Daphnia pulex: one gene and its partner. The protein of the gene in region 1 purifies or fractionates together with the protein of each later gene. This does not show direct contact. Links are inferred from orthologs where the notes say so. Each region holds a gene or a part of one and is shown on either strand. Other genes may lie near its edges.

Region 1 (3,143 bases):
CAACAGCAGCTGCGTCGTAAAGATCTAAAACACCTCTTGGAAGAAATGGAAGTCCAGCGACAGAACCAAGCGGCCGACTATTGGCTTGTCCAGTATCAGCGTCTAATCGATAACATGCCTGATAATATTCAACATGCACAACAGTATCTTCCAAGTGCGCCTTCCTCTGTACTCGATGATGAGGAGGTGGCATCCGCTCCTCCGATGGAAGTTTTTATGGAAACTAATTGCGTCATATGCTTGGACAGTTCAGTAAGCTTACATTTATTACAGTTCAATTTTTCAAAACGAATTCATTCTAATTGCATTTATATTAAACAGTGCCAAGTTATATTCCTTTCTTGTGGACACTTATGTTGTTGTTCTGGATGTGGCAACAAGCTAAATCAATGCCCAATGTGCCGGGCAACCATCGTTAAACGACTGCAGGTTCACTCATAATGTTATTTATTTGCTTTTTAGCTTTTCATCGGTCATATCTTTGTGCCTTTGGCATCCTAAAAAAAATGTTTTCTTCATTTTTATCTTGTCTGTTGCTACTGTCGTTTCGAGACGTAAATCACACTTTAATTTTCACAGTATACAAACTATTTGAGGTCGTGTTTTTTTTTCTTTTATTAATTTTTTTGTCGTGCGAATACAAATTTTATCACACATTTTTTTGTCATTTAAGATCATTCATCCACTTCTTCATCCTCATTCTCCTTTTCATTTTCATTATCATTTTCATTGTCATTTTCATTATCATTTCCATTATCATTTTCTCCACCTTCATCTGATCCTTCTTCAATATCTTCCGGTTTTTTGTCGGATTTTTCCTGTTTCCGTTTAGCCATAGCTTCTTTGCGTTCCTTCTGTGCTTTCTTGTACACTGTAAAAGAAAAGAACATGTTGACATTCTAAAAATTGTTTTGAAAAAGAGAAATTACCTTCAAGAGAAGCCTGTAGTGGTTCAATAAATCTTTCAAATTCCATGTCAGCCATTGCTCCCAGGACATCCGGGCCACTGATGATCTTTATTTAACAAAAAAATTTTAGTAAATAATTGAGAGAATGGAACAAAATTTTCTGATTCTGTGATTCACCTTTCTGTTAGCTTTCATAGCCAGATTGTTAGAGCATGATGTGCAATAGAGAACAAATACAGAAGCAGCTTTAGCAATGGCGGTTCTAGCCTCTTTAGACACATTAACACCTTCTGGCAAGGATTCTTTTATGATTCTTGCTACTATTGAGTTGGGAAGGTTTAAGTCTTCAGGTCGTTCTGCCATTGCTTACGTACCTGGGAAAATCAAAACAAAATTCCTGTCATCAGCTAGATACATTAGTTGAACAAAACATATATTTCATCATATGAATTCTATTCAAATCAATAAAGAGAGAAAATGTCACTTATTATTTCAAATAATAACACCATTTAGTCATTTCCAAGAGATTTCTAGAAACTTTTTAAAAAATTAACTACACTTGTTACAAGATTTTCATAGGAAAAAGAAAACATCCTACCTGTCAAAACTTCTCCTACAATAATTTATTTCCGATTATACCGAAACCAACACTCCGACACTTGAAAACTTCAGATTTTTGCTGAAACAAATACACAGTCACAGTTGATGATTTCGATGTTGCTTCTGCTACAATAAAGGGCGGGAAAATAAGAAGTGCCAAGACCACATCGCCATCTGTGAGTAATATTCTAACCGTTTGCACAAATAAGTTTTTCGCCCCCGTTAGACCAGCAGTCGCGAGTCGCATAATAAAGAGGCGTATGATAAAGATAAATAATAATTTTTTTTATGTAGCACGAAGAAGATAAGCAGATCTTAATATATGAACAGACAAGATATAGGTTAAATATCAAACTAGTGAAATATCAATTTTATTACACCAATATTTAGTATTTACAGTACATTGTTGCTTCAGCAGCTTAGATTGGTTATTCTAACTTGAACCGATTTTGTTTTACTAGTATTATTTATTGTATCTTGAACAACACTTGGATGTTAAAACAAATCGACATGAAAATTTTAACAATCGTGATCACTTCTGTTCTTATTAGATTCAATAACGATTTTGACGGAATGGATGGAGATCACCAAATATGACGTACGCAAAAGACGGCAAAAGATCGTTAGACTTGTCGTTAGATAGTGTCAAGAGCGGCATGTGTAATAGGATAACAAACTTTCCTCCTTTTCGCCAAGCCACTCTACATCTCCGAGTCAAAGGGACCCAAACTTCCTTTAGCAGCCAAAAGTTAGATTTCCATCGATGCTAATCTTACAAGGGAATGACTGTTGTGTGTACCTGAAAACTTTTGAATGGATAATCGCTTGCTATACACCCGTATATAGCCTATAGGGAATAATAGATTGCCAAACGCCGAAATTACGAGAAGTTAGATTATTGATTTGCGACTCTAACTTTCACTTATAAAATTCGTTTCTCGGAAACCTCCTACCATCCCCAGTCGCCTACAAATCAGGTCATGGAATTCAAGACAAGTTTGATCCAAAGATATATTTTCAAATCCTACACAAAGTGTGAGAGTCGGGAATCAGAGAAAAGGCAGGATATGCCCCGGGATACTACTCATCCACTCCGACTCCAGGCAACGGATACAAAACTGATATACGCTGTGTCGCTGTCTACCATTGGCCCCTTCAGACCTACATCCGCCCACATCGGAAACTGTAAATCAGACGTGGATGGAAAAACAAAAAGTTGAAGAAATAAGTCTGACGCTCTTTTGAATGAGACGGATAAATGAACAAGTTTTGCTTACTCCCAAGTTTCTCTATAAATAAATAACAACAATTTAAGAAACAAATCTCTACTAAAATAATGGTTCATCTTTTTTTTTAAATAGACTAGGTAATCAAACTGTCTTTAATCATCGTTAATTTCATATATAATTTTTCCGATCTCAAAATTTTTCAAAGACATCAATCGCATCATTTTTTATCCTGTATATTTTTATCCGCGTGGGCGTACACCAGCAATCATCCCATCAGGATTTAACACGGGAGTTTTGTTTTTTGTTTTTTAATTTCTCATCCTTGACACGCGTGACAGACTTTCTTGTCAAAAAGTTTGACATGCGCTTTCCCGTTAACACATTTTGTTAGAGATCGGCCGTGTGA
Region 2 (4,457 bases), on another chromosome or scaffold:
ACATGCCTTGTCTCACAGCACGGTATACGAATTGCCCGTCGGTGATAAAATGAAAGTTATCAAATGCCTTTGTCATCAAATACTCACATATGCATCAATAAGAGACATACTCGAAGAAAAGAGTACTAAATTAATCCATTTACGTCAAGAACTGAAAGCTCTGCATGCCAATGAGAGACGTATGAGAAAAGAAGATATCATTAATCGAGCCAAATTACGCTCTGAAGAGAACGGTAACACCGAAGATGGAACAGAGTTAGAAAGGTTGCTACAAGAAACTGCCAAAAGAAAAGGGGAGGTTCTCAAGAAGGAGCAGCAACTTCGCCAACAAATTCTCAGGATGACAGCCATGACTCATTTGGCACCTCTTGGACAAGATCGTGCTTTCAGGTATTTAGTGCATTGGTGTGGAATGAGACTAATCAAATCAAAAAACTAAATATTCATTTCTTTTTTAGGAGGTTTTGGGTTTTTGAATCACTTCCCGGGTTGTTTGTGGAACATGATGATGACTACGTTGGGACTTGTTTACCCGAACCCACGCCCTATTCCATGCCAAAACCAAACGGATTGCCGATTGATCCCAGCAAATGCAAAGAAGACATTAGGAAATTTTTTAAAGCAGCGAATAAAGAAAATGATATCTCAACCGAACCTGTCTGCGAAAAGTGAGTATTGCATTTCATTTTACATTTTATATTATTACGTATAATCATTTTAACAGTTCTTTGAAAATTAGGCCCAAAATTTTTGGTGTTTGCACTTCTAATCCGACGAACTGCCCTGTCCACGCCACCTACCTTTCACGAACAAAATGGTCATTCTATGAAAATGTCGATTTCGTTGATCAAATCCTACTGAGCCTTAATGAACGAGGGCAACGTGAAAGTGTATTGAAGAATGCAATGGTTCGAGAAAAGGAAAGAATCGTAGAAGGAATCACAAAGTGCTTTGTCCACCGTTTGGATAATTCAAGGCCTGAAGTTAAACTCGAAGGTGAAACTCGCAAATCCACCAGACAAATACGAAAGGAGAAAGAATACGATATCAACCTTTACTTTCCTGCCGGTACTCCCGTCGAGGAGATCATGGAGCGAACACTAGTTGATATGGTTCTTGAGACTGAAGAGAAAATTTTTGTTGGCGGCTTGGGATCCTTGAAGGTACAGTAGATTAAATGATTAATTTACATCAATAACATCTTTGTGTGTTTAAAAACAAATCCAATTTCATCTACATATAAATATTTTACTAGGTCAAAGACCGAAACGCATGGAGAACGTCTTTAGAAGAAAGGAAGTTTGTTTCGCAGGTTGAAACTCTAACTTGGGGTGGAAAACTGGAAACGAAGACACACCCAAAGCTTGAACACAATGATGCCGAGGATGAAGATAACCGCTCCGAAACAAGCTCTTCGGTGGAAGCAGAAACCACTGCTAATGCCGTTGCCAGAAAGTGCGTTGTGGATCTAGCATGTTCCTTACTTCAGTTAGCTCAAAGTGTCGAAACCAAGTATCTGAAGAAACCTCTAGGTAAGTCAGTATTTTATTAGCTGGATTTGGTTTGATTGAGATTTACTTAGTAGTCGAAGTGATTAATTTAAAAATTATTTTCAGGAGAAGATGAGAAAGAAAGAAAAAAACGACTAAAAGCCGAAGAAGCGATGAAAAAATGGGAAGACCACAAGGAGCCGGATCACAAGACGGATGCCAAAAGTAAGATAACGTCTTATGACATGTCATAACAAAAATAGCTGATTTTAATACTATTTCTAGCGGAACCGAAAACAGTACGAACGCCGTTAGAAAAATGGGAGTTGTCTCTACATGCATGCACGAGTTTGTCACAGTTGTACGTTCACTTAGCGCTATTAGGTGAGTTAGATATATATTTACGTATTTATGTGCAATATATATTCTACTAAATGCTTTGAATATTTAAAGATAACAGTATTACATGGAATCGCTCAGCGTTGAATGCTCGATGCCGTATTTGTCGTCGTAAAGGAGATCCGGAAAAGATGTTGCTCTGCGATGGATGTGATAAAGGACACCACATGTATTGCTTGAAACCTTTGCTCACCGTTGTACCAGAAGGAGATTGGTAAATTTAATAAGCGTTAACATGTTCGTTGAACTCATTTCAAATAACCTTATTATTATTCAAGGTTCTGTGCCGAGTGCAAACCCCGTGAAAAGCCTCGAACGCCTCGTAAAGCACGTCGCGTCTTTTCTGAAGAATCCGAGGACGAGGCTGTTGAAGAAGAAGAAGCGGATGCTGGCGAAGAGGAAGCCGAAGTTGAAGCGGAGGAGGGTGAAAGTGATGTAGAATCAGTAGATAATGAAATCTGCCCAGTTTGCCAAGAAGGTGGAGAGGTTATTTGCTGTGACACATGCCCAGCCGTCTATCACTTAGAATGCATCAACCCGCCTCTGAGAAAGGTCCCAAGAGGCAAATGGTCTTGTCCGCAGTGCAAGACACCTCCCCAGGATAGAGAAAGAGGCAAACTACGAGAAAAAAGTAGAAACTATTTCATGTGCTCTTCAATGTTAAGCTGTTACTATAATTTTTCTCTGTTGATCAGATTCTGACGGTCGGACCGGTTCTGCCCGAATCTCACGAACCCGTCATGCGATCGATTTTGATGAAGAAGTGAAGGATATGGGGAGGCATGCTGGTGCGCGTAAGCGTACGCAAACCGAGCCTGTACGATCCAAGTCACCCGCTGACTTGGCCCTAGGCAAACGCCGTTCGGCAGCAGAAGCTGTTGACAAAATTGCTCAATCCTCCAAGCGACTCAGAGGGGACAGCAACGATGGTAAGAGATTTCTTTACCGCAAGTAAACGCCTATTTAAATCAAATAACGAACACTACTACCGCGTTTCACGCTTCCTCCTACCGTGCACAACGACTACTTTTACTTCATCTTACCTTGCACAACGACTACTTTTTCTTTATATCAGTTCCCCCCCACTACCCCAGGTTGTTCCGCTCATCATCTTAACCTCTCGGCCTTGACTTTGACACTGCCTTGTGACGTACTTTTTTGTTTCATTTTTTGGAAGATGTCAGTTGTGAAGCCTCGCCGCTTCCTGCTATTTTTCGTAATAAAAGGATCAACCACTTTTACCTGACTGATTTATTTTTTCCTTCGTACAAAAACAATGGACTTGCGATGTCATTATAGGTTTCCCTTGACGACAAAGTAAACTTAGGTGTCTGTTCACGTCTAGTTAAAAACTGCTCGAAATGAAATTTAGTTCGGAACCCAGCTTTAATTTCAAGTAGATTCAATCTAATCAAGACACTAGATTTGCCGCACAAATTTCCTTATTCATAGCTTATTACCAAATCCCATCCTACAAATATTGTTACGACTGAATGTTTTGACGCCTGGTTACAAATCTTAAATTGTTCATTTCTATTTAGACGAAAGCGGTAATAGTGACAACAACAGCAAGTGGAATGCAGCAGCACATCGGAAAAGGAGTCGTCCATTGCCATTGCCTTCCGCAACTTCTCCTTCCGGGTTTGTTGACTTGGCTGATTTACTACAGCTATTGGCCGATTTGAGCAGTCATGTCGATAGTTGGCCTTTCCTCAAACCCGTCACCAGAGCAGAGGTAAAATATTGATAAGATTTATAGCCGTTTTATAGTTCACGCCAAGAGTTTGCCCTATCGTATTTCTCGTAACGTGACTTTTTCTGAGATCATTGTGACTGTAACTTGAAACAAATGAAACCGTTTCAAAGAATTCATAATTACGTATCATTTTCCCTATTCGTTAATTTGAAAATATTCCAGTAATTTGATTTGTGTGTAATTTTTCTCAGGCTCCGGACTATCATCATGTTATTAAACAAGCTATGGATCTTGGTACAATGAAGTACAAACTCAACAGTATAAAGTACAAGACGGCGGAAGATTTCGTCAAGGATTTGCAGTTGATATTCACGAACTGCTATACTTACAATAACGACGCTGCCGATGAATACAAGTAAGTTAATATTTCTTTTGATCAGCAGTTTTTAAATTGTTGGCTTTTACAAATGTGTTTGTCTGTACCAGATGTGGTCGCAACCTGAGTCGATACGCTGAGAAGCAGTTAGAAAAACTAGGTATCAAGATGATGCCAACGGATTAACATTTGAACCAATTTTCCTACAAATCCAACTCTCCCTACCACCCCCTAAAAAGTCATTCATTCGACAACCCCGATGGAAATATTGGATAAAACCGTGTCTCTTTTATGTTAAAATTCTGGCGACCGTCAATGGGTTGTCGATTGCGTTTCCAATTAAAACAGTAAGAAGTTCGGAAATTTGAATAACAGTGAAATACACTTGAAATCGATTAGCTATATGTAACAATGCTAAATGAGATTCATTTAAGTTTAATCAACAGCCCAATGGTTCCATTTACTGACATTTAAAAAAGAAAATATTTTTATTTTT

Evidence for each region. Proteins that work in one complex are often made in the same cells at the same time.
Region 2: the proteins of DNA polymerase epsilon subunit 3-like (region 1) and bromodomain adjacent to zinc finger domain protein 1A-like purify together in Drosophila melanogaster (affinity purification with western blotting; 3 studies listed by BioGRID, with this or other methods). This does not show direct contact. The link is inferred for Daphnia pulex from reciprocal best matches to the Drosophila melanogaster genes Chrac-14 and Acf.

What each region holds. Positions count from the first base shown.
Region 1 is NC_060025.1:6,579,666-6,582,808, forward strand, and holds DNA polymerase epsilon subunit 3-like, read right to left. Parts: upstream 1,655-3,143; 5' UTR 1,507-1,654; intron 1,306-1,506; exon of another isoform or gene 1,283-1,305; 5' UTR 1,272-1,282; coding exon 1,086-1,271; intron 1,015-1,085; coding exon 930-1,014; intron 872-929; coding exon 675-871; 3' UTR 598-674; downstream 1-597. Other genes in the region: E3 ubiquitin-protein ligase LRSAM1-like, read left to right, coding at 1-252, 322-441. UniProt on the Drosophila melanogaster protein: Accessory component of the DNA polymerase epsilon complex. Participates in DNA repair and in chromosomal DNA replication. Histone-like protein which promotes nucleosome sliding of ATP-dependent nucleosome remodeling complexes.
Region 2 is NC_060028.1:6,186,130-6,190,586, reverse strand, and holds the end of bromodomain adjacent to zinc finger domain protein 1A-like, read left to right. Parts: coding exon 1-390; intron 391-458; coding exon 459-668; intron 669-724; coding exon 725-1,163; intron 1,164-1,255; coding exon 1,256-1,532; intron 1,533-1,616; coding exon 1,617-1,715; intron 1,716-1,775; coding exon 1,776-1,874; intron 1,875-1,943; coding exon 1,944-2,103; intron 2,104-2,167; coding exon 2,168-2,520; intron 2,521-2,584; coding exon 2,585-2,818; intron 2,819-3,430; coding exon 3,431-3,624; intron 3,625-3,836; coding exon 3,837-4,000; intron 4,001-4,071; coding exon 4,072-4,147; 3' UTR 4,148-4,400; downstream 4,401-4,457.